4 linked regions of the Elephas maximus indicus genome follow. The protein of the gene in region 1 binds, or shares a complex with, the protein of each later gene. Links are inferred from orthologs where the notes say so. Each region holds a gene or a part of one and is shown on either strand. Other genes may lie near its edges.

Region 1 (8,050 bases):
GGCCTTTCTTTCTAGTATGTCTTAGTCTGGAAGCTCTGCTGAAAACTGTCCACCATGGTTAACCCTGCAGGTATTTGAAATACCAGTGGCATAGCTTCCAGTATCACAACACAAAAGCCTCCACAGTATGACAAACTGACAGATGAGTGGTGTTAGCACACAATGAAGCAAAAACCAAACCTACTGCCACCCAGTCAGTTTCAACTCACAGCAACCCTGTAGGACAGAGTAGAACTGCCCCATCAGGTTTCCAAGGCTGTAAACCTTTATGCAAGCAGATTGCACATCTTTATTTCACAAGGCAACTCGTGGGTTCCAAATGCCAACCTTTCAGTTAGCAGCCAAGAGCTTTAGCCACTTTGCCACCAGGGCCCGTAGTAAACATTTGTTGAATGATGATCTCTCATAGCTTTCCATGACCACATCCACCACTGGCTGAATTTATGTGCCTCTTTTTTTTTTAAACCCTATGGGGCTTTTTATGGGGCAATTCTCCCCTGTCCTATAGGGTCGCCGTGAGTCAGAATCAACTCGATGGCAACGGGCTTAGGGTTTTTTTGTTTTCTTTTACTACTCCACATGCAGAAGCCCTAGTGGTGTAGCTTGGCTGCCAACAGAAAGGTCGGCAGTTAGAACCCACCAAACACTCCTCGGGAGAAAGCGTAGCAGTCTGCTCCTGTAAAGATTATAGCCTTGGAAACCACACGGGGCAGTTCTACTCTATCCTATGCAGTCACTAAGAGTTGGAATCGACTCAAGGGCAATAGGTTTGGTTTTTGGTTTTAATCCACATGCAGGAGCTCTGGTGGTGCAGTGGTTAAAGTGCTTGGCTGCTAACCAAAAGGTCACCGGTTCAAATCCACCAGCTGCTACATTGGAGAAAGTTGTGGCAGTCTGCTTCCATAAAGATTACAGACTTGGAAACCCTATGGGACAGTTCTACTCTGTCCTATAAATTTGCTATGAGTTGGAATAGACTCGATGGCAAAGGGTTTGGTCTTTGGCTTTTAATCCACTTGGGACTGCCATGAGTAAGAATCAAGTTGATGGCAACGGGTAATTTGTGCTCCTATATCACCATTTCTATACCTTTATTTTTTTCAGTTGCCGTCAAGTCAGTTCTGACTCATGGTGACCGCATGTGTGTCAGAGTAGAACTTTGTTCCATAGCGTTTTCAATGGCTGATTGCCAGGCCTTTCTTCCAAGGCAACCCTGGATGGACTCAAACTGCCAACCTTTGGGTCAGCAGCCAAGTGCATTAGCCGTTCGCACCACCCAAGGACTCCGTACCTCTATATGTCTTTGTTGCTGGGTGCCTGTTGAGTCAATTCCAACTCATAGTGATCCTGTGTGACAGAGTAGAACTGCCCTTTAGGCCATGGCGTCACTAGAATTGTGTTACCCAGTGTGGAGACTCATGGTGTCACCCCCCTAGTGCTAATTACCACAATATTGTAGGTAAAACATCAAAAAAGTGACAATATCAGTGACTATAAAAACACCGGCAGCAACAAAAACAACAGTGCATGCTTGTAGCACTTGTAGATGAAACCACATGATTCGAGGCATCACTGTAATTGGCTAATAACGACTGCTCTGACCGGAGCACGTTGGAAGGTTCCAAAAGTAAATTACTGTAGAGTTTTAGCCTCGTAGCTATATGGATATAGGTAACCTGGGCTTACAAAAAAATTTTTGTTGTTATAAGTATCTACAGTGATATTTTTAGGAAAAATAATAAATTTCTGCTGAAACACTTCACAAAACTTTTAAAGAGTCATTTTGGTGTCACCCCCTCTAACAGTGTCACTGGTGCAGTCTGCGCCCCCTCCCCCTTCCCCAGTGACAGTGACAATACTGCGCAAAGGTTTTTTCATGGCTAGAATCTTTTTTTTTTAATTGTACTTTAGATGAAGGTTTACAGAGCAAACTAGCTTCTCATAAACAATTAATATATATATTGTTTTGTGACACTGGTTGCCAATCATGGCTATAATCTTTATGGAAGCAGATTGCCAGGTCTTTCTTCCACAGAGACGCTGGATGGGTTCTAACCACCAACCTTTAGGTTAACAGCAGCTGAGCGCTTAACCATAGTGCCACCAGGGCTCCATACCTCCATTACAGCACCTACGAATTGGTGCTTGTGACCTTTGCTGGTCTATTTTGCCTCCAAGCGGACGGTGAGCGTGGGGACTGTGACTTCACTTTCTGAATCCCAATGTAGTGGCTAACATGGTGACTAGAATGTACTCGATACTAAATAAACGCTTGTGGAAGAAAGGAAAGGTGCGGAGGGGAGAAGGAAAGGGAAAAAGACCCCTAATTCGCCGCAGGCTCCTTCAGGGCAGGTCACAAATGACCAGAATCCTCAGTGTGCTGTCCACACTGCCTGGCACAGCAGCTCTCAATAAAAGTGCTAAATGGATTATTATTTTTGTCTTTATAACAGTGTCTTGGATGTTTTTAATAACCCATATCTTGCTTGAATCTTCTGGAAGAAACGTTTTCTATTATCAAGAAACAACCCCGCAATCCAAATGTCCATCAGCAGATGACTGGATAAAATGTGGTACATACATACGACGGACTCTTCAGCCATAAAGAAAAATGAAGTTCTGATACCTGCAACTACACAGATGAACTTTGAAAACATTATGTTACGTGAAATAAGCCAGACACAAAAGGACAAATATTGTACGATTTCACTTACATAAAGTATCTAGAATAAGCAAATTCAGAGAGCCAGAAAGATCAGAGGCTAGCGGGGCTGAGGGGAGGGGAAAAGGAGGAGTTACTGCTCAATGCGTGTAGAGTTTCAGAGTGACTAAAAACAAATTTTTTTTTTTTTTTGGAAATAAATAGTGGTGATGGTTGCCCAACATTGTTAATATAACTAGTGGCACTGAACTGTACAACTAAAAATGATTATAAGTGGCAATTTTTGTCATATATATTTTACTGGAATTAAAAGCAAAAGAGCGAGCCTCGTTCACACTGAGGGCGCGCCGATCCCTCGCCGCGGGCTCCCACGCCCTGGAAGCGGCAGCCCTCCGCCCACCGGCACCGCGGTCTCTGCTGCAGACCCTCCCGACCTGGCTCACCGCCTCCGGGCTTCCAGGCGCGCAGCAATGCGGAGGCGCCGGGCCTGGATCCGCTCCTGAGGGTTATCAGAGTGCACCGAGGGCCCGAGAATCGGGGTTGATAAGTGTTCGTCCTCTTTCTCTAGGGGCCCTGGCGGATTCATGGCTGCAGCCTCCCGGCCTGCAGGCAGCTCCACCAGGTTGCTAGCAACAAGCCGTTGCCTGGGAAAAGCGGTTGCCAGACCGGCAGCTGGCGTGGTTCCGCGCGCAGTTCTTCAGGCTCCGCCCACCGCTAGCTCAGAATTCTGCATCCCAGCTTTGGGCTGTGTGTAGCCTTCTCTCCTACAATGAGCCTGTGAGTACTGTCTTGCACCCCCACGAAGGCCCAGTCGTGTCAACAGAGGCTGTGAACTAGCAGGTCACCACGAGACTGGAAGACTGAAGAGCTGGTACACGTTCTGGCTCATCACTTACTGACCCTGATGATTAATTTGAAGTAGAGAAAATGTATTTTCTTTAGTGCTTTAGTATTGAAGTAGAGAATATATTTTCTAGTTTAGTATAGCTGTATAGACTGTAATTAATCTCCAGTCTTTGAAATGTAATTATTTGCTCTAGAATCGGTCTCCTGATTGTTCCTTTAAAGAAAAATAAGGTAATCAGTTTTTTGTTGTTGATTAAACTAGGTTCCTCTCCCAGGGCCAAAACACACAGGACCAATGTAGCTGAACAAAACTCAGATCCATCTTGTGACTGAAACCAGGATGGCGTGAAGAGACTTTCAAGACTTCAATAATAGGTCACTTTATCATTATGTCCATCTCAAAGAAGAGTTAACATTCCGGGAAATCCCTAAACCCTGACCTTCTCCCTATAAAACTCTCTAGTTAGCCCTTTAGACAGAATTTGGGAGGAACTTAACCCCTCTGTCTCTTGGATACCGGTATTCAAATAAAGCCCTCTTCTTACAGCTTACCTCCTCCTGTCTCAGTACTGGCTTTGCGGCAGGTGGCTCGAATCCGCGATTTGCAGTAACAAATTCATCACTCATTTATTCATCAAATGAATATTTCTAAGAATTATATTCATCAAATATAATTGAGCGCCTCCTATATGCCAAGCCCTGTGCTAGAGCTAAGGATACGGGCATTGTCCTTTCCTCACCGGGCGTGCAGAGCCTACTGTCTCTTTGGAATGTTCCAACTAAAATGTATTGCATCCATTCACTCATTATGCATTCATTTTTGTGCATTTTGTGCATTCAGGACCCTACCTGCTCTAGAATAAAGCAAAGAAGGAAACAAGGGAGGAGGGCATGGAGGGAGGGCGGAAGGAACGGAGACATTTCCATCCAGCAAGGGATTGTTGTCATTTTCAGTAAGCTGAAACCCGGGGTAATCCCACCATCCCCATCTGCAACCACATACTTCAAGAGGGAAGGTGGGAACAGAGAAAAATAGTATGGGGGAATGAGAAAGAGGGAAAAAAGTTAAGAATACAGAGCACAATTAAATTCTCAAAGAAGCACCAAAAAGTTGTAGCCATTGAGTCAATTCTGACTCAGAGTAGAACTGCCCTGTAGAGTTTCCGAGGCTGTAATCTTTACAAGGCAGATTGCTACATCTCTCTCCTGCGGAACGGCTGGTGGGTTCAAACTGCTGCCCTTTCATTTAGCAGCCAAGTGCTTAACCGCTGGGCCACCAGGGCTCACCTTCACAGAGACACACTCCCTTGAAAAGGCACTATTTCCTTGGCTTTTTTTTTTTTTTTTTGGTCTCATTCTCAACTAGTTCTTTTTGAGAGTTTAAAAACTTCTTTAAAAAGCAAACTGGACATTTGACAGGGTCTTGGTTCCATTAGCCTATGAGAAACTAGGGAATGGGTGAGAAAATGTGGGTACTAGTCCTACCTCTTGCCCGCAAATATGGGCAAGCCACAACTTCTTGAGAGCCATTTCTCAACTGTTAAATGGTATCGTCTGCCTTCTTAACTCACAGGTGAAGTGAAACCTCAGAAGACCAGGAAAACAAAAGCCCTTTGTGAATAAGACCTACCCAGAGGCAAATGCAGTATTTTTTTTAAAAAAGACATTTCCAAGTCTCTAAGTGGTGGAGAAATTTAGGAGGGCCAAAGCCTTGGAGAAGCCCAAACAGTCCAAGAGCTACCTGAATCCTAGTTAGGGATGTGGAGGATGCTTCAGGGCCCTTTGCCAAATTTATCTCATTGGGTTGTAACCTTGAGCATTAAACTTTCCTATGGGCCACACATCAGAGGGGCAAGGTGTAGTTCTGACCACAAACTCTTCCAAGTGCTGACTCATGTTTCCACCATCTATGAGAAACAAGTATATCCATGTGTGCATGCCTGCAGCTGGGGGTAGAATACCATCAGACAGTCAGGAGGAATCAGCTGTTACAGAAGAGAGACGGCACCACAAACACTCATGAAGAACCATCCAAGAGATACTTGGTCCTAAAGTCATCCCCAGATGCCTCCAGTGTACTGTATTCTTTCTTATTATGAAGGTTCATGTATCAGTGACCCTAGAGATTTCGTGCACTGTCTTTTTTGTTGTTAAAAAAGATACTATATTTAGTTTAAAAAATAAATAAGTTTATTGTTGAGGTAAAAAATAACACATTCATTATTCAGCATTTAAGCAAAGTATACCAGATACCACTTGCCATTGATCTGATTCCAACCCATGGTGACCTCAGGTATATCAGAGTAGAACTGTGCTCCACAGGGTTTTCAATGGCTGAATTTTCCATAGATTGCCAGGTCTTTCTTCTCAAGCACCTTTTGAACCTTCAACCTTTTATTGAGCTGCCAAGTGTGTTAACTGTTTGCACCACCCAGGGAATCCTTAAGCAAAGTTGGAAAGAATAAAAAAGGAAAACACAAAATCACCCCAAATCATCCACTCAAAAATTAACAGGTCCCACAACTACAGGTCTCTACTCACCAGAAGCCAAACAGTAAGACAGTAACCAAAAGCTCACAGAAGAAGCAAGTGTACACCTCATCTATCCTGAAGTTTACTACCGGTCTCTACTCGCCAGGAACAGAACAGTAAGAAGGTAACCAAAAGCTCAGGGAAGAAAAAGTGTACACCTCATCTACCCTGAGACCAGAAGAACTAGATGGTGCCCAGCTACCACCACTGACCACTCTGACTAGAGTCATAATAGATGATCTTGGATAGAATGGGAGAAAAATATGCAGCAGAACTCAAGTTCTTATTTAAAAAAAAAGCAAAACAAACTGGGATGGTAGAGAACGGAGGACTCCCTGAGACTATCGCCCCAAGATACTCTTTAAACCTAGAACCGAGTCTATCCCAAGATGAAGTGGCATACAAAATAAAGGATATCACCCCTAAGAATGGTGCTCTACTTAAAAACCATCAGTATGAGACCAAAAGGTCAAGAATTACTCAATAGCAAAGATGGGATGATAAGGGGGCGGGGAAACTAGAGTACCGGAAATGGAACAAACAGAACTCAATTATACCATGTGATAATGTAACTAATGTCACCAATTTGTGTGAAAACTGTCAAATGGGAACCTAACTTGCTGGGTAAACTTTCACCCAAAACTCAATAAAATATTATTTAAAAACAAAAAAGTAGTAACTTCACCATTCCAAACATCTTTTAACTCCATTTTTTGATGTCTGACTGCTGACAGCTTGTAAGCATCAGCCCTCTCTATTTCCTTCTGCCCTAAGCAAGCCTGGGTACTGTCTCCTTTGGTGTCATCAGGAGATTCAAACTGTGCAGGAACTCTCATCTTGGCCTCACGCTCTAACCACAATTAAAGCCTCAGGCCAGTCTTCTCTCCTGGCTCTCTCAAGCCATTCTCCAGACAGCCTCAATTATGTAAGTAATAAACCTTTTTATACCCTCTTGAGGTATGTGTGTGGCATCATCCAGGCTTGACATCCAAACCAAAATTTGGGTGGGTGGCGGGGAGGGTCCATTCCACCTATTGGAATGCTTACATCTCTTTATGCATATATACAGAACATAAAGATAAAAAGACATGTGAAAACAAATTTTTGTGTGTATGCTTTAAATGAAAGTTTACAAATCTAGTCAGTCCCTCATATAAAAACTTATATACACCTTTTTTTTTTATGTACTCCTAGCTGCTCTCCCGCTAATGAGACAGCACACCCCTCTCTACCCTGTATTCGTGTCCATTCAACCAGCTCCTGTCCCCCTCTGGCTTCTCATCTCCCTTCCAGGCAGGAGCTGCCCAGGTAGTCTCATGTGTCTACTTGAGCCAAGAAGCTCACTCCTCACCAGTATCATGTTCTGTCTTATACTCCAGTCCAATCCCTGTCTGAAGAGTTGGCTTTGGGAATGGTTCCAGTCTTGGGCTAAAGAGGGTCCAGGGGCTATGACCTCTGGGGTCCCTCCAGTCACAGTCAGACCATTAAGCCTGGTCTTTTTACTAGAATTTGAGGTCTGCAACCCACTGTTCTCCTGCTCCATCAGGGATTCTCTTTTGTGTTTCCTGTCAGGGAAGTCATCGGTTGTAGTTGGGCACCATCTAGTTCTTCTGGTCTCAGGCTGATGTAGTCTCTGGTTTATGGGGCCCTTTCTGTCTCTTGGGCTCATCTTTACCTTATTGAAGACAAATATTTTTAATAAAAATATTGAAATTTAATTTTGCTTGATTTATCAGGAGAGAAACTTAAGTGAAACTAATGAAACTGAATTTGAAATGCATGTTTCTCTACCACATTATTTCCCGAAAATTTAAAAAATACTAAGAACTTTGAGTCACTACCTATTTTATCCAACTTAATTCCATTTTAGATACCAAAGGTTGTGACACTCTGCTCTAAAAAATTAAGATGTGAAACACTGTCAATTCTTTCTACCTATCCATTTTGTTCTTTGATTAATTTGACAAATATTTATTGAGTGCCTATGTCTGTCTCAGGCACCATAGGTTC
Region 2 (7,371 bases), on another chromosome or scaffold:
TCTAGAGAGTAAACAGGACAGGAAGCCATTTGCCACTGGGTAATGAGACATTTTCAGTCCATTCTTCACCCAGCACCCAGATGGCCTTCCCAGAACACAGGCCTGACCCACCACCCCCTGCTTAAATGTCACCTAAAATAAAGCCATTCTTCATCATAACTCCAAGGCCTCCACAGCCCTGCCCCCTTAACAACAAGGCCTCTCTCAGTCTCCTGTGTATTCATGTTTTGTCTTAAAACTATAAAAAGAAAGCAGCTTACTAACATTACCATCAAGCCAATACAGCCTCTCTCGGTTCCTGCGTCAGATGCCCCTGGCCCTGCTAGACCGAGGCAGATACCAGGTGGCATCTCCTTGGCTTTCAAGGTTTTGCCACTTGTGTGGTTATCAGGAACCTGTAATAATGCAATTATCAAGTTCCCAACACCAACAGAATGGACAAGTGATGTAAAATAATTCCTACAAAAAAACTGTAGTTTAGAAGACAGATCCTCTCCCCCCCAAAATGTACGCACAAGCAACAGCAAAGGCAGCCAGTCGGCTCCTTGTCTTTGGAGCTTGTCAAAACAATGATGACCTAATTAATCAGATGGAGGTGATGTGATTTTCAGTAAATCTGTTCTTTTAAAGACATCCTATTTGCTATAGTGTTTAACAGTGAACAAGACAATTTTTTCTTTTTTATTTGCTATAGTGTTTAACAGTGAACAAGACAAAGGAGGATGTTGTGTGTATCTATGCTGTAGTAACAGCTCTGTAAAAGCCAGGTGCATCAAAGAATAGGCCTGAAGGAGACAGAGAATTAAAAATAGAAATAGCTGTTAGATCAGAAATACTACTCCTTCCAAAACCCACCACCCTATAAAAATGTTCTCTTCTGTGGCTCTGTTGTATTTGAGAAATTTGGAGCTGACTGGAAGGATGGAAACAAGGAGCATGATCTGGTATGGAGAGAAGTACAAGGGGGTGAGGGTGGATGCGGGGAGGGCAGGATGGAAAGAAGATGGCCAGGAGGACAGAATGAACAGAGGGGAGGGTGGAGGCAGCTGCAGGCGGGGACAGCGGTCAAGTAGGGGTTGGCTGGCCTGGGCTGAGGTGGCTGGGCTGGCCCTCTCACCTGCTCCTTGTTCATGTCTTCCGGAGCGAGCCCGTCGACAATCGGAGTGCCTTTGGCTTTGCCTTTCTTTCCTTTCTTTTTAGGCGCCTGTTAGTTAAAGAAAGGAGCTGTGGTGACACAGTGGTTAAACGCTCAGCTGCTACCTGAAAGGTCGGTGGTTGGAATCCACCAGCTGCTCCAAGGGAGAAAGATGTGGAAATTTGCTTCCGTAAAAATTATAGCCGTGGAAACCCTATGGGGCAGTTTTACTCTGTCCTATAGAGTCGCTATGAGTGGGAAGAGACTCAGAGACAGTAGGTGTGGTTTTGGTTTTGTGGTTAAACAAGGGACGAAGGAGTAAATAAACCATCTAAGGGCTCCCACTTGTTGGCCAGCTCCAAGACCCTCCCGGGGGCCTTTCTGGGAGAAAGAAGCACCTCAATGGAATCTCTGTCCCAACAGGAGGGCCCTGAAGTTCCATCCTTAATGCCACACACCCCACTGGGTCCTTCGGAGAAGCACTAGGGGAGGACTTCCTTTTCACGGGATATTTTTTCCAGCTGAAAGGAGGGGCAACCCCTCCTGAACTCACCCACTCCTTGGCATAAGACAAAGACCTCTTTGCCTTTGGACAAAATTTATCTTTGGTTGCAAAATTTACTTGGAGTCAAAATGGAAGACCCCCAAAAGCACAGTCAAACACTACCACATTTGTTACAAGCTTGGTGACCACCATGGAAAAACCTCCAAAAAACCAATTCATGGGTGTAGGAAGCAGGGCTTCTGCAGCAAGGATCACAGAATGACATCAATTTGAGGCTTCCTTTCTTCCAAATACAAAACTCCTTCAAAGAACCCAGGTCAAGAGAGCTTCTGAACTGCTGTGTAAACAGGTCACCAGACCCAACTGCTCATGGTGAGAGAGAACCTCTGACCCTACTCATTCTCCATATCTGACTTTACAAATCTTTATCCTTAGCCCTTTGCTACTCCCAACTCCCTGAAGCCCATGCTTCCATGTGTGGGTATCTATGTAACTTTCTTAGAATTGCAAAAAAATGTCAAGCGGAAATTTTAGAAACACAGAGAAGCAAAAAAAAAAAAAAAAAATCGCCCGTAGTTCCACAAGCTAATGTTAATAAACCAAAAAACCCAGGGCCGTCGAGTCGATTCCGACTCACAGCGACCCTATAGGATAGAGTAGAACTGCCCCGTAGAGTTTCCAAGGAGCGCCTGGCGGATTCGAACTGCCGACCAATGATAATAAGCGGAAGTATTTTGCTGATGGTCTCTTCACAATCTACTCTCCAACGATCCAACCATGGAAGCCCCAGGCTCCACCTTCCCACCACCACCCCTTTTACTGCTCTTTCTAACCCTCTCTCTGAAAGATCTATTCCAAGAAGTCGACCCCATTTGAGTCTACCCCTTGGTGAGCCCCTGGCTCTCCCTCCCGGGACCGGCGGTCCTAGGATACTGCTGACCAGCCTGTCCTTCCTGGGGTCCCTGGGTGGCCCCCTGGGGGGGCCCCCGTGAGATGAGACTCTAGGCCCCAAGCCCTTCACTCCAGGCAGGAAATCCCCTCAGGCTCAGGGTCTCTCGTACGGGTACTTTGCACACCGGGCCCTCGGGCTCCAGGGCTGAGCAGCCCTGTGAGCACAGCATCCTGGACAGCTCATGGCTCTAGGTTGGGCGCAAGGTCTAAGACCCCCGAGCTCACACCCCCGGTCCGGGATCCCAGCGAGCGCAGTTCCAGCGCCCCAGAGCTCAGATCCCGGCTTGGGGTCCCAGTGCGCCCAGGCCCCCGGTCCGCACCCCGGCCCCCCTCACCATGGCTCTGCCGGACCGGCCTCGGCGCGGCCCCCACACTAACTCTCAGGGCCGGTGAAGATGCGCCTGTCTCCCAGCAACGCTCGGCGCTCCCGCGCCAAGTCTCAGGGATCCTCGCGAGATTTCGCCTGAGGCGGCGGGCCTGGCAACGACGGGAGAGCGTCCCTAGCAACGCCCGCGGGGAGGGAGTTCCAAGTCGCGGAAGCCGGGGCAGGCCGGGCCACAGCCCCGCGTCACCGATCGCCTGATCTCCCCAACAGCCCTAAACGCGTGTTGTCGCCGAACTGGGACGAGGAATTCCAGGCCCCCGACTCCGGTCTGCAGCGGGTTGGGGATCCTGACCCAGGCCCGGGAGGTCTCTGCTTAGTTGTCCCCTTCCTGGGCTACCAACTAAAATCTGAAAACTAAGGAAACAGCTTGTTACCTAACAGGAAATATAATTTACGTCTTCTGTTTACTGCCTGTCTCCTCTACTGTAACTTAAGCTCTTCGCTACTGTAATTTAAGCTCCATGACGGGAGGGGGCTCTGTTGCCTTCACTCTGTGCTCCAGGCTCTTAATAAAGATGTGTTGGATGAAGGAGTGAGTGAGTGAACGAATGAGCCTACACGGACAAGGTTCTGGATCATTGTCCAAATCAAATTGAAATTTGGGTTTGAGACTCTGCCCCCTGGGACTCACCCCACTCTGGCCACCTTTGAAGGGTCCTCCCGCTTACTACCCAGGTGAAGGTTGAAAATAGTTGGATTTCCACAAATCCTGGGGGGGGGGGCGGTGGGAAATATATATATATAGGAAACCCTGATGGCGTAGTGGTTAAGTGCTACAGCTGTTAATCAAGAGCTTGGCAGTTCAAATCCGCCAGGCGCTCCTTGGAAACTCTACGGGGGCAGTTCTACTCTGTCCTATAGGGTTGCTATGAGTCGGAATCGACTCGACGGTAGTGGGTGGTATATATATACATACATATATATATATATATACATACATACATATATATATATATACATACATACATATATATATATATATATATAAAAGCCACGGTGTTTTCAATCACCTCATATGCATTCGAAAGCTGAGGAAGACTGAAGAAGAATTGATGCCTTTGAATTGTGGTGTTTGCAAAGCATATTGAACATACCATGAACTGTCAAAAGGACAAACAAATCTGTCCTGGAAGAACTACAACCAGAAAGCTCCTTAGAAGCAAGGATGGTGAGACTATGTCTCACATACTTTGGACATGTTATCAGGAGGAACCAGTCCCTGGGGAAGGACACCATGCTTGATAAAGCAGAGCATCAGTGATAAAGAGGAAGACACTCAACAAGATGGACTGACACAGTGGCTGCAACAATGGGCTCAACCGTAACAATTGTGAGGGTGGTGAAAGCCCAGGCAGTGTTTCATTCTGTTGTATATGAGGTCGTTATGAGTCGGAACCGACTCAACAGTACCTAACAACATAGATAAAGGAAAAATGTTCAGCTTAGCTCCAAAGCTTTGAAATCAACAGTCTACTTGACACCTGCCCCTATTGCTAAGTGACAGCATGTCCACCCTTAACAGAAATGCACTGCTGTGCTGGAGACCTCAGCTGTGGCCTCTCTGTTCTCATGGAGAAGAAATCCCTCAGAGGCTTCCAGATAGGCACTGCTGAAAAGAGAGAGCTCAGTAAAACAAACGCTAGTCATTTTATGATTTCCAAAGTGAATTTCCAATTCCCCACCCCCCCCCCGCCCCACCATGCTATTACCTAGACATGAGGATCCAAGTCACCTGAAAGACTGAGGATTTGTCATAAGCAAGCGCCCATCTTTACACATCATTTGTCCTTTTTTCTCTGCTCTCAACTTTAGCAACTTCTTGAATAGTGGTTTTGCGATGGGTCTTGTTTTCCTATAGAGAAGATTCTGGAATCTTCTACCCCTGGAGAGTTGTGTAGAGGGCAGAATGTGGGTAATGACAGAGGACTCAGGTGGGCTCAGGTCTTCCCATCCAGCTCAGAAAGGAATGATGCCTCCGTAGCCGGGTCTGCTCAGTCCTCGGGAACCCTGCAGCAGCCTAGCTTCTGAGGCCACTGTGATAAGCTTGAGGGGCTTCCTGTTTGCCCACCAGACCCTTATTGTTCTTGGAGAGGAGCATCCAGTTGGAAGGACGGAGCCATGATTTATTTATAGCCTATCCCTAAGCCTTTGTGATGTCTGACCAGTCACCAGCCCCATGCTGGACTCCACTGGCAAGATGGGCCTCCTCCTTCAGAGGCAGGGGCCTCCCAGAGGGAGTCTGGCAGGCGAGACAGTGCAGCTGGGTAGCACAGTGGGACAATTATTATTGTTTAACACTTTGTCTAAGATCCAATATGCTAGGTACATCACGTTGATTGGCCTTAGAAGTCTAGCTGTGAGTACTGAATTAAATAAATGCATTAACAATAATTCCTTCCACAGAAGGGCAAGAAGAGGAGGGTTAGCTCAGGATAGCCAAGACAGGGTTTTCATCTGTCAGAAACCGACTGAGCAGTATGTTCTCTCTTCATATAAGTATGGATTGCAGAGATGAATCGTGTGGGTGCCCAGCTGCCATGCTCCTGGCTCCCAACAGGGACCTCAGTTTTTCATATTGGATTCGAGTTCAGATTTTTAGAAAAGAGCTCTTTCTTCATATTGTATGGCTTAAAATATTTTGTTCAGTATCAAGCTGTGTAGCTCAGAAACCCAGATAAATGGCATCTGCATTTCCTGCAAAAACCCCAGAGCAAACATTAATCCACAAACTGACTGGCCATTTCGCCCAAAAAGTTTGACCCACTTGGTCAAACTGCCTGAATGTGTGTTTGAAAATGTTCTCGATGAAAAATTAAAAGTAAATGCTGGCCTCCAGAGTCAGATTGTCTGCCACTTACCATCTGGAGGGGCCTCTGGCAAGACCCCTCTGTATCAGTTTATTCACCTCTCAGGTGGGAGTACTTATTAAGTAATAGTTACAGTTACTAGGACTGCACAAGTTGCCCCAAAATGTAATGACTTAGTACAATGGATTGCTTGTGAATTTGCAATTTGGTCAGGACTCAGTGGGAACGGCTTACCTTGGCTCTGCTCATCACCCATAGAGGCGGTTCAAAGGCAGGGTCTGGAATCAACTTTCTGCCTGTTGCTGCGACTTTAGCTAGGCTGAAGCCAGAACACACACAGGAGGTCTCCACGTGTGCGCTGGGGCTTCCTCACAACATGGTGGCTGGGTTCTGCAGTGAGCGCTCTAAGAGAGAGCCAGTAGAAAATGAATCCTTTTTATTACCCAGCCTTGGAAATTACATGATAATATCACTCTGCCACATTCTGTTGATTGGAGCAGTCACAAGCCCGTCCAAGTTCAAGCAGAAGGAATATAGATGGGGGAGTCTTGAGGGGGTGGAAGGTTCTGGAAGACCAGAAATACTGCTGTAGCCATTTTGGGAAAATACCATCTGCCATCCCAACTGACTGGGAGTGGCCTGTGCTCCCACACTGTCCCTACTTCCCAGAGCAGCCCTTGCCTTGCTTCTTTCCCCATTGCCCATCCTGTAGTTCAGCGCTGTCTTTTTGTGAATCCAGGTTCTCAGCCTCACGAAGCATCAAACTGCAGGTGTTCCTGTGGGTAATGAGGTCATTTTAGAGGGTTGCAAGCAGCAGTTTCATTTTAGTTTTGTTTGTGTGTGTGTGAACTAAAAAATGGAAGCTATTTACTGCCTCATTGATGTTGAGACCCTAAGGCTAGGGATCAAGGACCTTCAGTGTCCCACATTCTTGGCTGAAGACATCCATCACAGCAGGTTTGGCCCCTCCTGGGGTGAATTTCCAGCTATCTGGGACTGTTGAAGTCTGCCTGTGGAGGCAAGACAAATACTCACCTCCCTCCTCTGTGAGCCTTTTCCATTTCCGGCTGGAGACAAGCTCTTCCTCCTCGATGTTCTTCTTGGGTTTAGTTTGTTGTTGTAGAAGTGCAGAGCATGTGTTCTGGGCTCAGAATCCAGCTTGATTTTGGAGCGTCTGGCTGTGCTGCCTCAGCAAGTACAGCTTCTGCTCCTGGAAAACTGGCTTAATGGAAAGTACGCCCTTCCTAGAATCACTGAGGGAACTAACAGAGCCTGCCTGCTAAAAACCTGAACCGTTGCCGTTGAGTCAATTCCGACTCATAGCGACCCTACGGGACAGAGTAGAACTACCCCATAGGGTTTCCAAGGAACGGCCGTTGGATTTGAACTGCCGACCTTTTGGTTAGCAGGGGCTGGAGCGGGATCTCTGCGGCCTTGGAGGGAGTACTACATTTAGCCCCCTCCGCTTGCCCACCCTCTCCCTTCCTGCCTCAGGGAGTCCTCCCTATCCCCAACCTCTTACCCCGGCATACCCACACCGCCCCCACCCCAAAACCCACCTCTTGTAGCCCCTCTCCCAGTCTTTCTT
Region 3 (7,293 bases), on another chromosome or scaffold:
GGAAACCTTTTAGCTTTTGGTTTAGTCCAGTGGACCAAAAAACCAAATCAAGCCCAGTGCCGTCAAGTCGATTCCGACTCATAGTGACCCTATAGGACAGAGTAGGACTGCCCCGTAGAGTATTCTTCCAGCCTCTACTCATTATCCAATTCCAAAACTACTTCCACATTTTAGGTGTTTGTTGGAGCAGTGGAAACTCTGGTGGCGTAGTGATTAAGAGCTACGGCTGCTAACCAAAAGGTCAGCAGTTTGAATCTACCAGGTGCTCCTTGGAAACCATATGGGCAGTTCTACTCTGTCCTATAGGGTCGCTATAAGTTGGTTCTGACTCAACAGCAACTGGTTTTTTTTTTTTTTTACAGGTTAGAGCAGTACTCCCACTTCTCGGTACCAAATTCTGTCTAGTGCTGCTATAATAGAAATACCACAAATGGGTGGATTTAACAAAGAGAAATTTATTTTCTCAGTTTAGGAGGCTAGAAGTCTGAATTCAGAGCACCAGCTGTAGGGGATGGCTTTCTCTGTTGGTTCTTGGGGGAGGTCCTTATTCCTCAGCTCCTTGATAATCTTCATGTGGCATGGCATCTATCCTCTCCCATCTCTGCTTGCTTGCTTGCTTGTTAAATCTTTTTATCTCAAAAGAGATTGACTCAAAACACATCCTACACTAATCCTGCCTCAGTAACATAACAAAGACAACCCATTCCCAAATGGGATTATAACCACAGGCATAAATAGAGGTTAGAATTTACAACACATATTTTGGGGAGACACAATTCAATTCATAACAATTTATGAGGGACTTCTCTAATGGCAGAGCAATGTGGTAAGCTGGTGGGGAAATAATGTGCTCACTCAGAAGACGTACTAGGGACTGCCTCTTTGCAGCTTTGTATGTATGGCACCTGGAGAAGAGGTGAGGAGAGGCTATCACTTCCCTGAGGTGCCCTGACACTCAATTCAAGTCCATATCTGCTCCCTGCTCCATGATCACACCCTGAACTGGATCATCATTCAGAACAGCTCTATCCTAAATCTTAAATTCAAACATTCTACTTGCTCAAATCAACCTCCTACTTTTCCAGACCCCTTACTCAATTACTCTTTCTACTTCTCTTCACCCATTTTCTAGGAACCTCTACTTTCTATCCATGTATCAGTATAATGTTCCTCTTGTTCTCATTTCCCACCAAGCCCTTGGAGTCCTTGGCCCATCATTTCAGGCACTCTGAAGAGCTTTAGCTCCCTGACCCATTGCCCTTCCATTCTAAATGTCTGGCAAACTCCAATCCTGGATGAAATCAACTCTGTAATTTCTGTACCTATGTCTGGCTTACTAAGTGCTTAAGAAAATCATACAACTGGGAATATGGGTACCGTGCTTTCCACGTATTTTCCCAAATATAACTGCGTGGTGTTAAAACATGAATAAAACTCATAATGAAAAATTAAAACAATACAGCCATACATAGAGTGAAAAGAATTCTCCTTCATCCCCTCCCAAAAACCATTTCCAAAAGCAGCTACTGTTAACAGCTTGACATACGTTCTATACATATATTATTTCCATGCATGTATGATTGTCTTAAATATACACACATACACATACATATAAACAGTATACATATATACATACACATATATACACATATTTGAATATGGTACATAGCTAGAATTGTAGTAGACACTTGGTTGGACAACTTGCCTTTTTTTTAACGTAATATTTCTTGGTGATCTTTTCTTCTCAGTAGATACAAATATACTGCCTTCTGTAAAATATCGTATCCTCTTACTTATATTTAAGTCATTTATTACTTTCACTATGTAACAATAAAGAATATCCTTGTACATGCCACTCCTTGAACACATCTCCAAGTATTTCTCTGAAGTAGATTAGATCATTAGAAGTGGAAATGCTTGGTCAAAGGGTATGCATTTAACAATTTAACAAATACTTCTAAATTATCATCCAAAAAGGAGGGGAGCTGTACCAAACTGCCTTCTCAACTGTACAGGAGAGTTACTGCCCCTTGCAGGGTTCTCAACACTGCCCTGCTCTTGTTTCCATCCCTAGACATCTCTCACCCTCGTCCCCCACAGTAACTCAACCCTCCTATTGCAACCCCCATTCCCACACAAACACACACATTCTTAGCAAATGATCTCACCAACTATTTGTAGGGAAAATAGAAGCCACTGGAGTACTTTCCCAGCTTCCTACCAAAACTCACCCATTCACCCCCATCCTGTCCTTCTTCTGTCCTGTTATGGGGGGGCGGGGAGGAGGTGAGGGGAGTCCTTCCCTCTGTCTGAAGTTAATCCCAGTGTGGGGTCCTTCCTTTCACAGAGAGCTGGCTATATTCTGTCTAAAGGTCTCAGCTTCCACAGCCTCCTCAGCTAATGTCAATCTGTCTTCACTCACCTCTCCATTGAAATGGCTCTCCCTAGGTTCACCTTGGGCCGGATCCACGGAACTCCTTCAGGTCCTTATCTTAGGTAACACTGTTACTCGCTCCTTAAAACACTCTCTTCTTCATAGAAATGCCACTCTCCTGATTTTTCTTTCCCTCTCTCTGGCACTTTTCTTAATATCTCCTGCAGGTACCTCTAGTTCAAATCTTAAAAGTTGGGGTTTGGGGTTTCCGTCTTGGGCCCTGTGCTCACTCCGCTCTTTTCTCCCTGGAAGATGTCACCCGCTCCTCCCTTCAGTCATCATCGCCCCTGTCTTCTCTTCTTGGATCTGTATCTTCAGCTCAGACCACTGACTTGTCCAAAGAGGACCTCATCCCCTCCTATACCGCTCCTCCTCTCCACCCCACGCCCGAGTAGGAAGTCTCCCCCGACTCTTCTCTCCTCTCACTGCTCACAATCGATGTGTCCGCCGCCACTTGGCTCCAGTACCTCGCAAACCTGGGGAATGTAGTTCTCCTTGAAGTAGCTCTTCAGCCAGGGCTTGGCAGTGCGTAGCGAGGCCATGGCCAGAGGCCAGACTCCGAAGCCGCGCTCCGAGCCAGCTCTCCGCGCCCCAGCAGCAGACGGCGCGCGCGGACTAGGGGCTGGCGCGTCCCGACGTTGCCCTGGCAACCGCGGGAGTGGGGAGGAGCGCGGCGGAGTCTCCCGCCCCCATCTCTGGGTCCGCGGGGAGGGAGGCGGGCCTGGAACCTAGACTGAACGCTCCTGGGGAGAACGAGGGGGACGCCCGGGGCAGCGGCGGCGGCTGTGTGCGTAGTCGCCCCTCAGGGCGCGCAGCCCGTGCAACTCCTCGCGGAGTCCAGTCCCCCACCTGCCCACCGGCACCGGCCGCGCGCAGGGCCGTGGGACCGAGCAGGAGGCTTTACTATTTCGGCAGGGCCGTTTCCGGGAGGCGGAGCTCAGACCCCCATTTCCTTTCTCTTCGACTCGGTCGCGCTCCGGCGGAGGCGGCGGCGCCCGCGGGCTGTGCAGACCCCAGCGCCCAGCGCCCGGCGCCCAGCCCACGCCGCAGCCCCCGCGCCAGCCTCGCGAGCCTCTCGCGCCCCCGCCCCGGCGGCAGCATGGGCGGCGCCCGGGACGTGGGCTGGGTGGCGGCGGGCCTGGTCCTCGGGGCCGGCGCCTGCTACTGCATTTACCGGCTGACGCGGGGCCAGCGGCGAGTCGGCCGCGGGCCCCGGCTGCGCCCCTCGCCGTCCGCAGGTGAGGCCGCGGGCGTCTGGCGGTGGTCGGGGGCCGGGGAGGGCGCCAAAGACTCCGCAGGCGCTGGGGGCTTTCCCGCCCTCGCAGTAATCGCGCCAGAGGCGGGAGGGAGGCTGCATGAGAGCGCAAGGCCTGGAAGCCCAGGTGGAGAGAGCGGATTGTTCATTTGATTTGGGTAGGCGCGTTGGATCCTGAGCCTCCTCCCTGCCGCCAATTCTTTGTTCAAAATCACGGGATGAAAGGTTTCCCAAACTTAACTGTTTTTTTGAGTTCAGAGTCCAGCGGAGGATGGGTTTCTCAAACGCACGTTGATTGCCTCGCACTTTAAATCTTGCACTGGGCCTTTGTGGATGGGGCATTTCGTGCCTCGAGCCATAAGATGAAATGCTGTGTGCAGTTCCCTGGAAAAAGGGACGTCACCTGGGCCTGTGCTCGTCCCGGCCCTGTGCGGGGAGACACTTTTAAGTCACCGTGGTCCAGCATCTTGCCTGCAACTTTAAAAGCCAGAAAATCAGTTTTTGTAAGATTGAGCGGAACCCTGTTTTGTAGGTGCAAATGAGGCATGTAAAGGATTCGGGAGTAAAAGCAGCATCCAGGGCCCCTGATCACAAGAGTTAATAGTGGTAATCCGCTGGTTTTTTACATTTCGCTAACAGATTTTTAATTTGGATACCTTAGGACATCATGTCATTAATTGTTGCCCATAATCTACATTTTTCCCTTTTCCTCTTTTTTTTTTTTTTGGTGATTGCTCTTTAAGCAATGCACCCATTTTTAATAATAGGAGTAATGCTTGTTTATGTTTTTAAAAAATTAAAATAGTCTTACAAACAGGGTAGAAAATAAAATTGTTGGTAATCCTAGCTCCCAAAGGTGGCCACCTCTAACAACTGGGTGTATATATATAAAGAGAAGGAAAGGGATAGATATGAGATCATACAGCCCCTGCTGTTGTGTATCCTTTACCTCCCAGTGTATGGTGGGCACATGCACAGTCTGACTTCTGGTCATACAGTTTCATTTGGAAGAAGTCATGTTGAAACTGTATAACACAATAATAGTGTTACAGAACTCGCTTCCGTTTTTCAAATTAACAGCAACTGGGAAGAGTAGATAGGAAACTTAGGGGTCAGTGAGTTTATGTTAATGGGGGAGGAATAATTCCAAAAAGAGCGTGGAAGTGTTTGCACAACTGGAAGGATGTAATAAGTGTCACTGAGTTGTACATGTAGAAACTTAAATTGGTACATGTTCTGCTGTATATATTCTGAACAACAGCAACAAAAAATAATTTGTTAAAATCTGTTATAACTTCACTTTGAATAAATATATAGTTGTTATTTTGTCCGCGGACTGGTATTGGCCATTTTGAATGAGACAATTATTTAGTCTACTGAGAATGACAAACTGAAGAAGAATCGCTTCACATTCATCATCAAAAAGAATATTTCAGGATCTATCCTGAAATACAGCGCTGTCAGTGATAGGATAATATCCATTGTCTACGAGGAAGACCAGATAATACAACTGTTACTCACACTTATGCACTAACTGCTCATGCGAAAGATGAGGAAATTGAAGATTTTTACTGGCTTCTGCAGTCTGAAATTGATCAAATGCACTATCAAGAGGCATTGATAATTACTGGTGATTGGAAAGCAAAAGTTGGAAAAGGACCTGTAGTTGTAAAACATGGCCTTGATGATAAAAAATTGACACCAGAGAACACATGACAGAATTTTGCAACACCAGTGACTTATTCATTGCAAATACGTATTTTGGCAACATAAACTGCGGCCATACATGTGGACCTCTCTAGGTGGAATACACAGGAATCAAATCAGCTATACCTGTGAAAAGAGACGATGGAAAAGCTCAATATCATCAGTCATAACAAGGCCAGGGGCTGACCTCAGAACAGACCATCAGTTGCTCATAAGCAAGTTCAGGCTGAAGCTGAAGAAAATCAAAACAAGTCCACAAAACCAGAATACTGCCTTGAGTATATCCCACCTAAATTTGAGACCATCTCAATAAATGTGATGCATTGAACCCTAATGACTGAAAACCAGACAAGTTGTGGAGTGACATCAAGGACATCATATATGAAGAAAGCAAAAAGTCATTAAAAAGACAGGAAAGAAAGAAAAGACCAAAATTGGATGTCAGAAGAGACTGAAAATTGCTCAGGAACATAGAGTAGCTAAAGCTAATGAAAGAAATGAATAAATAAGAGATCTGAACAGAAGGTTTCAAAGGACAGCTTGAAAAGAGGCAGTATTTATAGTGGAATGTACAAAGAAAGCCAAAGGGAAGAACAGGTTTGGAATTTCTGAAGGTGAAAGAATTGAAGAAAAATCCAAGCCCCGAGTGGCGATTTTGAAGGACTTTGTGGACAAGATATTGAACAATGCAGGAAGCATCAAAAGAAGATGGAAGGCATACACAGAGTCACTGTACTAAAGAATTGGTCAACGTTAAGCAATTTCGGGAGGTAGTATATGATCAAGAACCTATGGTATAGAAGGAAAAAGTCCAAGCTGCACTGAAGGCATTGGTGAAAAACAGGACTCCAGGAATTGACAGAATACCCAATTGAGATGTTTCAACAAACAGATGCAGCACTAGAGGTGCACACACATCGGTACCAAGAGATTTGGAAGACAGCTGCCTGGCCAACTGACTGGAAGAGATCCATATTTGTGCCCATTCCAAAGAAAGGTGATTTCAATGGAATGCAGGAATTAATATCACACGAAAGTAAAATTTTGCTGAAGATAATTCAAAATGGTTACAGCAGTACATTGACAGGGAACTGCCAGAAGTTCAGGTCGGATTCATACTTATTCAATCTGTATCCTGAGCAAATTATCCGAGAAGCTGAACTATATGAAGAAGAACATGGAGCATGAGGATTGGTGGAAGGCTTATTAACAACCTGTGATATGCAGGTGGCACAATCTTGCTTGCTGAAAGCAAAGAAGACTTGAAGCACTCGCTGATGAAGATCAAAGATTACAGCCTTTAGCATGGATTACATCTCAACATAAAACAAAAGTCCTTACAACTGGACCAATAAGCAACATCATGATAAACAGGGAAAATATTGAAGTTGTCAAGGATTCCATTTTACTTGGATCCACAATCAGTGCTCATGGAAGCAGCAGTCAAGAAATTAAAGGATGTGTTGCACTGGGCAGATCTGCTGCAAAAGACCTTTTTAAAGTGTTGAAAAGCAAAGGTGTCACCTTGAAGACTAAGGTGCGCCTATATCCAAGACATGATATTTTCAGTCGCCTCATATGCACGTGAAAGTTAGTGAATAAGGAAGACTAAAGAAGAATTGGTATCTTAGAATTAGTGGTGTTGGCGAAGAATGTTGAATGTACCATGATTACCAGAAGAATGAACAAGTCTCTTTTGGAAGTGGAAACCCTGGTGGTGTAGTGGTTAAGTGCTTTGGCTGCTAATCAAAAGGTCCACAGTTCAAATCTACCAGGCACTCCTTGGAAACTCTACGGGGCAGTTCTGCTCTGTCCTGTGGGGCCACTATGAGTCAGAATTGACTTGACAGCAACAGGTTTTGTTTTGATTTTTTTGTTTGTTTATCTTGAAGTACAG
Region 4 (8,377 bases), on another chromosome or scaffold:
AGGAATTCATCCACTTCTTCTAGGTTTCTGAATTTGTTAGAGTACAATTTTTCATAGTAATCTGACACAATTCTTTTAATTCCAGTTGGGTCTGTTGTAATATCGCCCATCTCATTTCTTATTCAGGTTATTTGCTTCCTTTCCTGTTTTTGTCAGTCTGGCCAATGGTTTATCAATTTTGTTAATTTTTTCAAAGACCCAGCTTTTGTTCTTGTTAACTCTTTTTTCTGTTCTCTAATTCATTTAATTCTGCTCTAATTTTTATTATTTGCTTTCTTCTAGTGCCTGAGGGTTTCTTTTGTTGCTATTTGTTCAAGCTGTAGCGACATTTCTTTGATTTTGGCCCTTTCTTCTTTTTGTATTTGTGCATTTATTGATATAAATTGACCTCTGAGCACCACTATTTCTACTTTTAAAAAGAATCTAATAAATAAAAATAAACCAATGGAACAGACTCGTGAGTCCATCACGTACAGCCCTCACAATGTCAACACTCCACCATTTCTACCCAGCCTGCCCTGTTTCCATCCATCCAGTCTCCCTGCCCCTCCTTGCATTCTCATCTTTGCTTTTGGGTAAGTGTTAACCATTTGGTCTTATATAGTTGACTATTTAAAGGAGCACATTTCCAATGAGTGTTTTTATTTTATAGGCCAATGTATTATTTGGCTGAAAGGTGACCTGCAGGAGTGGCTTCAGTTTCAGATCAAAAGGTACCTTAGGGCTATAGTCTCAGGGGTTCCTCCGGTCTCTATCAGTCCAGTAAGTCTGTTGGGTTTTTTTGTTTGTTTTTTTATGAATTTGAGTTTTATTCTACATTTTTCTCCCATTCTAACTGGGACCTTCTGATTCATTCCTGGTGAGAACGGTAGTAGTGGTACCACCACCTAGTTCTAGTCTCAAGCTAGAAGAGTCTGTGGTTGTGTGAGCCATTAGTCCTGTGGACTAATTTCTTCCTTAAGTCTTTGGTTTCCTTCACTCTTCCAATAAAATCTTTTAACTCTAATTGTATTCATCAGATTTTTCTTTCTACAAAATATGCTTAACACAATTAAGAAATTTTTAACTATATCATTCTTTCTAGGAAGGCTTTCAAATTACCTAAAATTATCTAAAAAATATGTGATCACTTCTCTTACAATGTACCCTGACGCTTTTTAAACAGTACCATACAACTCTAAGGACATTTTAAAATAAAAAGCATTTATTAAATAATTCTGGCTCTTAAGGTTTACCGTCATAAAGATCAAGTAGTATTACTATTATCAAAAGACGGATCTTTGGCAGTTTCTTTTCTCCGCTATTTTTCTGTGATCGCCACAACAAACGACTAAAAACATCTCAGGGCTGTTTTTTCGTTTGTAAATATTAGTTATTAACCTGAATTCACTTTGTTTCATGCTGAGAAAAATGGTATGTTGATAGTGTTTTGAGCGCTCAAGAAAGGAAACAAAGGTGGAGTATTTTTTTTCACGGACAAAGTGTTTACCTCTACTCCTTTATGGTTTTTTAAATATTGTTTTTCCGGTGACTTTGTCAATTACTAAACAATTTAATAAAACGGGTAACTAAGAGAAGGTAGTGATCAACGTTTGGGTGTTAAATCACATTACTCAATGAAAACAATTTAAAAGTCTTGCAAATAAACGTGGATAATCGGTTTTCCGCTTCCCCAAACACAAAACACATCAATCCTGCCCCTATGACCTACAGTGACCGAGCCTCTCCGCCCGGCCGGAGCACAGGCTTCTTAAAGCGTGGCCACTCGATTTTGCAACTTAGTCTTTATTAAAATTGTTTTACGTTTTTGTTTCTTAAGACAACAGGCCGGGGGTGAGGGAAAGAGGGAGGCGCAAAACTAGCCGCAGGGCATGCATTTCCGACGAGACGCCGAAGCACTGCTGTGACCTCTCCTCCCACGTCCTCGCTAGGGAGGCAAAATGGTGGCCGCAAACACCATCAGGCAGGGCTCGGGCGGGGTTTCCACGCGGCCGAAGAGGATCCAGCTAGATTCTGACGGCCAGAACCTGTCCTCACCCGGGCCGCCCAGCGGTATCCACAGCCTGGGCAGCTGCCGCCGTAGCGGCCGCAGCACCAGGAACCCCTGGCCCGGGCTTGGAGGCGGCGTCCCGGTGACCGGGCACAAGGACGCCATTATTACCTTCCCTGCCGGCGCCTCACCGCAGCCCGCGCCGGAGCCGAGACTCGGCCCTCCTGGGGAGGGGTGGGGAAGGGAGGGCGGGAGGAGGAGGAGACGGGAGGGGTGGGGAGCGGGAAGAAAGGGGGAGGCGGGGCCGAGGCGTCGGCCCGGGGAAGCCTCGGAACTGGAGGCGGCGGGCCTCCCCTCAGTTTACCCTCTCCCTGCGAGTAGGGGCTCAGGATGGAGGGCGAACGAGCCCCCCCAAGAGCTTCCCTGCGCAGCCCCGGGTCGCGGTGAACAGCAAGCTCAGCCGCTTCCCCAGAGGCTCTTACCTGTGCTTTCCCATGCTCTATCCTCCGCCATCTTGGTGCGGAGCCCGTCGCCTGGGAGATGCCTATCGTTAACCTAGGTCGCGGCGCCCTTTCCCCCTCCAGCCCCGCTGGGAGGATGGGCCGCTCCGAATCCCCGGGGCGGGAGACCCTGGGGAGAGAGGCCCGGGAGGGGGAGTGCTGCGAACGCGCGCCCTTCCCCCTTTCCCGCCACGTGCAGCTCCAGCGTTCGGGCGACCAAAGCCCGCTTCTGCAGCCCGAGACCCGCTCGCCACGCTTCCCGGCCATTTCAGGTCCTTCAGTGCCCCGGCCTGAGCCCTGTGGCCTCGGGGAGTTTTACTAAGGTTCCGAGCCCTTTAGTATTAAATAATTCTGCTCCATCAGGGGACATCGCAGACATACTACTCTCCCCCCTCCTCTCCTGTTTGGACGACGTGGCGTTGCTCGAATTTTTACTGCAGATTTTAAAAGCAGCCGTAGAGCTGCTGAGTGAAAAGCCCGGCTCCCGCGGGGGTGATTGCCAACTGCAAGCGAGCCTCCTCCCCTTCCCATTCACGGCGGCCGAGCGCAGGGGAGCCGCCCAGGCTGCTGCAGAACGGCCGGCCCAACCCCGCTCCTGCCCTCGGCGTTTGCTCCCGGCCTGTCCTCTGCGCCCTCCCAGAAAAGGCGACCGCACAGCCTGTGAGAACTGGAGCTAAAACGGAAAACTGGGCCGGGTGCAAGAGGAAACCGGAGTCATTAGACTATTATTACTACAGGAGAGGAATAGCTGTAGAAAAACATGGGTAGGAGAGGCGCAAACACTGCGTCGCCAAGGCTGCATTTCTGACACAAAATAGAAGGTTCTCATAGCAACAAAAACATGCCCATGTTGTGCTCGGTATTACATACATTTAAATGTTCCTAGTTGTGAAATTTGGCATGACTTCCAGTTAAAGTTACTATAGAAAAGTTGTAAATCCTTTTCTGAAACTTTGCAGCTGTAGCGTGGTATTCAAGTTTTTGAATGTTTTATTCTAAGGAGAAATTCACTAGACTAGAATTTTTTTTTAATGATCTTTGAATAACAAATCCAAGCGTAAATGATTAGATAAACTTAAACCTGAAATGATACGTGCGTGTGCTGTATTAATTTAAATGACGTGATGTGTGTAAAAGCATGTATGTAAATTTTAAGAGGCCTTCAAATTGCACGGTATTCATACTTAATGTATTTACACAGATTTTTATGCTCCTCTGAGTAATTCTGTTTCAGTAATCTTTGACTAAACCCTAAAGCAAACTGACTATATTCTTCCTTACTGAATTAATTTTTTCGATAGAAGGTAGTTCATGTGGTGCTGTGATTAACATTCTGTGTGAAATTCAATATAAACGATTGTGTCATCACAAACTTTCTCACATTGGAAGATGTTTATATGACATGAGTATAGTTGTGTACAGTGAATTATTAACAACCCAAATATAGAAAATTAAACATAGCATTCATATTTCAATTTCAGAGCCATTATGGGCTAGTGACTTGTTTGTAAAGACGACTATGTCCATATAGATAATGAAAACCTAGAAGTAAATGTAGGAAACCCCAAATTTGGTCTCAGATTTACTACTCACTCACTGTGCCTTATCATACGCTTTTGCAGTTTTCCGTTTTTTGGAAGTCTTTCCCTTTTCTCTCCCTGATTCAGCATTCACTCTCCCAGACACATTCTTTGTCCCTACCTATTTTTTTTATGCGTCAGAATCTACTGGACAGCAACGGGTTTGGTTTTTCGTTTTTTTTCGCCTGTCCGCAGGATGACCTCCTTGAAGGTCACCTCCTCCTTGAAGTTTCCCTCTTCCTCTGTGGCCCCTGTACTTTTATTATAGAACTTCTCACATTAATTTGCAATGACCTTGTTTAGTTATTTGTTTTCTCATACCAAACTGTAAGCTCTTGAAGATGGGACCTGCTGTATTCATCCATATACCTAGTGCTTAGAACGATTTTTTAATTTTTGTATCTGAAATATATATTGTTAAAATTAAGACAGGAGTGAGTCTTCTCAGTGACTTTTTTTTAAAAGACTCAGATTCAGCAAAGTTACTCCAAGTAAGACAGGTTTTCCTTTTGCATTATAGTCTTGTACCAGTGAAAGTATCAGCAGTTCATGTTAATAAAATGGAATTCTTATATAAACATTTATAAATAAAAACTAAGAATTTAACAGATTCTGTGCAAACTTTATCCCCCCAATATTTTTATATTTTTGACTAAATTTAACGGTTTAGCAAAGATTTTTATTACTTAAATCATTTCAAACCATGTTAATCTCTTCTGAACTCCTAAAGCACATTTAAGAGAACACTCTTAAGTTTGGATGAGTGAAAAAAAAAAAAGTGTGTTATTTAACCCCCTCCCATTTGGTTTGAAGTCAGGAGCCTAGTCTTATACACTTATATAAACTCTTAGTACCTAGCCTAATTTGGGGCACACGTTAGGTGCTTAATAGTTTTCAACTGCCGATTAGACATAAGATTGTGTAATTATTCTGGAAAACTTGCCTCAAGGTGAAAATGATTATCCAAATAAGCTAAAGGCCCTCAGTGCAATTAGTAATTATTTGCATTTTGCTGACACTTGACTTTCCTCCTTTCTTTGGTTGTGGAAACCTGACCCCTGACTATATTACACTTTTAACCTTTTTTAAATATTATTACCTTGTTTTGGACAGTGGCGATCTACAACCGTGGTTTTTTTTTTTTTTCCTTTGAATGTATTTTGTTTCTGAGCTATAGCTTGAGTAACTTTGTAATACTGTATGCTGCAAAAGCATTTTTTCATTTTCAAGGCAATTTTCAGAAATTTAGAATCAGAAAAATATTTTTGGTTCCACTCGTGGGTATTATGCAACTGAAGGCGAAATCAGAGAAACAAGAGCATAATTTTAGATGGATGATATTTACTTGATTGATTATTCTGTGGGTCCAGGTGGATCTGCACAGATTATATCTTTTTGCATTCTTGAATTTATAGTGAATTAAATATATTCGGATAAGCTTCGGTACCGTGCCCACGAGGGACCCAGAAAATATTTATTCTGGATACAATTGACTCAGTTATCTAAGATTTGGGTGAAGTGGGAAGGGTAAATTGATGTAACTAATGCAAAATTTGAGCCCTGGTGGCGCAGTGGTTAAGAGCTCTGCTGCTAACCAAAAGGTCGGTGGTTTGAATCCACCAGCCACTCCCTGGAAACCCTATGGGGCAGTTCTACTCTGTATTATAGGGTCGTTACAAGTTGGAATCGACTTGATGGCAACAGGTATGCAAAATGATAGTCCAAAACATGTTTACACGATGTTTACTTTCATAGTATGGGGATAATACAAATCTCTTTGGACTAGGAATGATTGAAAGAACAAACACTGGCATATCCTTGGGCATTGCCATGTATTGACCTCATGATCCCAGACAAGTCATGCAATCTCTTTAAAACTTAGTTAATTCAGAAAAATAGAAATAATAATGCCCAAACTCCCTATCTTAGCGTTTTCATGAGACTCCACAGATGTAACTGAAATCTTTAAAAGTTAAGGAACTTGGAAGGAAATCTCTAAGTGAAATAACCCCCCAGCTCCCGGTAGGAAAGAGCTCTTAGAGGTCAACTCCAGCTTCTGTCCCGAGATTCACCTTCCCCTGGGAAAGCTTTGCTTTTCCAATGCTTCAGCTAACACAACTGGAGATGGTTTGACTCCAGGGTTACACTGGTAACTACTGTAATCTGCCAGCTACATGCCATGTGATCTAGTTTACATGATCTAGTTTACTCATCTTCAGTTTATGGCCCTTTCCTGGTTTCTTTAAACCTAGCAAGTAAGTATGCCCTTAAGCATAGATTCCTTGAGCTCTAGACCCGGGAAAAATGGGAAGAAGGAAGTTCCCTCTCTGATCTGTCCAATTCTAGTTTCCTAACACAACGTACATCCCTTTTGTAGATCATTAACATCAAAAATGTCCACCCCTTCGAGGAAGACACCACCCATTGTGATCTCAAAAGGAAAACATCTGACTATACAGAATAAGGGTATGGTTTCCTTACAGCATTACAATAATAAAAGTAGCTCTTTCTTATTAAGCTATGTAAGTACCTTATATACATTATCTCATTTAATCCTGCTGAGGCTGATACTAGTATCCCTAATTTACAGATGAAAAAAAATAAATCCACATAAATGGTCTACGTAAGGTCACATAGCTATGTAAGTAAGGGAGCTGGTTAGGAATATAGACCTGATTCCAGAGCCACTGTGCTGTACTGCTGCGTCTTTATTTTCTTTTTAATTATTTTTAATTGTGATAAAATATATATAACAAAACATTTGTTATGTCAACCATTTTTACTTTGTAATTCAGTGACAGTAATTACATTCACCACATTGTGCAGCCATCAGCACTGTTTTCTAAATGTTTTTCATCACTGTTAACAGAAATCAGTGCCCCTTAATAATTCCCTTTTCCCCCTCCCACCCACCCCTGGTAACCGCTAGTAAACTTTGGTCTTTATACATTTACCTATTCTTGATATTTCATGTAAGTGGGATCATACAATATTTGTCCTTTTGTGTGTGACGTTTCACTCAGCGTAATATTTTCAAGGTTCTTCCATATGGTAGCATGTATCAGAACTTCATGTCTCTTTATGGCTGAATATATATATATATATGTATGTATGTAAACCAAACTATTGCTATCAAGTCGATTCTGACCCATAGCTACCTTATAGAACAGAGTAGAACTGTCCTATAGGATTTCCAAGGAGTGGCTGGTAGATTCAAACTGCCAGTCTTTTGGTTAGCAGCCAAGCTCTTAACCACTGCACCACCAGGCTTCCATATATATATATATATATATCATATATATATATATATATCATATATATATATCATACATATCTATCTCACATTTCGTTTATTCATTCATCTGTTTACTCTTGGGTTGTTTCCACCTTTTGGCTATTGTGAATAGTGCTACAATGAATGTACAAGTATCTGTTGGAGGCCCTGCTTTTAAGTCTTTTGGGCATATACTGAGGAGTAGAATTGATGGATCGTATGATTAATTCCATGTTTAACTTGTTGGGAAGCTCTCGAATTGTTTTCTACAGTGGCTGCATCATTTTACATTCTCACCAGCAATGGATGAGGGTTCCAATTTCTCCACATCCATGTCAATACTTGTTTTCTGATAATATCCATCCTAGTGGATGTGAAGTGGTATCTCATTATGATTTTGACTAACATTTCCCTAATGACATACTTTGGACGTCTTATCAGGAGGGACCAGTACCTGAAGAAGGATAGCATACTTGGTAAAGTAGAGGGTCAGCAAAAGAGAAGAAGACCCTCAAAGAGATGGATTGACACAGTGGCTACAACGATGGGCTCAAGCATAGTGAAGATGGTGAGGATGCCACAGGACAGGGCAGTGTTTCATTCTGTTCTACATAGAGGATCACTATGAGTCAGAACTGACTTAACAACACCTAACAACAATGACTAATGTGACATTGAGCATCCTTTCATGTGCTTATTGGCCATTCGTACATGTTCTTTGGTGAAATGTTTGTTCAAGGCCTTTGCCCATTTATTTTTTAAACATGTTCTTGTCCTTTAGGTGAAAGTTTACACAGCAAATTAGTTTTCCATTCAATAATTCATGCACAGATTATTCCATGACAGTGGTTGCAATCCCCACAAGATGTGAGCACTCTCACCAATTCCACCCTGGGTTCCCCATTTCTCTTTGTCCTGTTTCCCTGCCCCTCCCTGCCTTCTCATCTTTGCTTTTGGGCGAATGTCGCCCGTTTGATTTCATATGGTTGATTGTTTTGTGGAGCACTTTCCTCATGATTGTTATTCCTTTTAT

Evidence for each region.
Region 2: DRC1 (region 1) and GAS8 share a complex: the UniProt entries of both Homo sapiens proteins name them as parts of the nexin-dynein regulatory complex. The link is inferred for Elephas maximus indicus from reciprocal best matches to the Homo sapiens genes DRC1 and DRC4.
Region 3: DRC1 (region 1) and FBXL13 share a complex: the UniProt entries of both Homo sapiens proteins name them as parts of the nexin-dynein regulatory complex. The link is inferred for Elephas maximus indicus from reciprocal best matches to the Homo sapiens genes DRC1 and FBXL13.
Region 4: DRC1 (region 1) and EFCAB2 share a complex: the UniProt entries of both Homo sapiens proteins name them as parts of the nexin-dynein regulatory complex. The link is inferred for Elephas maximus indicus from reciprocal best matches to the Homo sapiens genes DRC1 and DRC8.

The regions. Positions count from the first base shown.
Region 1 is NC_064830.1:44,543,301-44,551,350, reverse strand, and holds the start of DRC1 (dynein regulatory complex protein 1), read right to left. Parts: upstream 3,274-8,050; 5' UTR 3,249-3,273; coding exon 3,106-3,248; intron 1-3,105. UniProt on the Homo sapiens protein: Component of the nexin-dynein regulatory complex (N-DRC) a key regulator of ciliary/flagellar motility which maintains the alignment and integrity of the distal axoneme and regulates microtubule sliding in motile axonemes.
Region 2 is NC_064839.1:55,106,183-55,113,553, reverse strand, and holds the start of GAS8 (dynein regulatory complex subunit 4), read right to left. Parts: upstream 3,026-7,371; 5' UTR 2,930-3,025; coding exon 2,927-2,929; intron 1,205-2,926; coding exon 1,118-1,204; intron 1-1,117. UniProt on the Homo sapiens protein: Component of the nexin-dynein regulatory complex (N-DRC), a key regulator of ciliary/flagellar motility which maintains the alignment and integrity of the distal axoneme and regulates microtubule sliding in motile axonemes.
Region 3 is NC_064826.1:46,424,655-46,431,947, reverse strand, and holds the start of FBXL13 (dynein regulatory complex subunit 6), read right to left. Parts: upstream 3,375-7,293; 5' UTR 2,977-3,374; coding exon 2,902-2,976; intron 1-2,901. Other genes in the region: ARMC10 (armadillo repeat-containing protein 10), read left to right, coding at 3,534-3,672. UniProt on the Homo sapiens protein: Substrate-recognition component of the SCF (SKP1-CUL1-F-box protein)-type E3 ubiquitin ligase complex.
Region 4 is NC_064842.1:19,166,662-19,175,038, forward strand, and holds the start of EFCAB2 (dynein regulatory complex protein 8), read right to left. Parts: upstream 3,213-8,377; 5' UTR 2,504-3,212; coding exon 2,473-2,503; intron 1-2,472. UniProt on the Homo sapiens protein: Component of the nexin-dynein regulatory complex (N-DRC), a key regulator of ciliary/flagellar motility which maintains the alignment and integrity of the distal axoneme and regulates microtubule sliding in motile axonemes.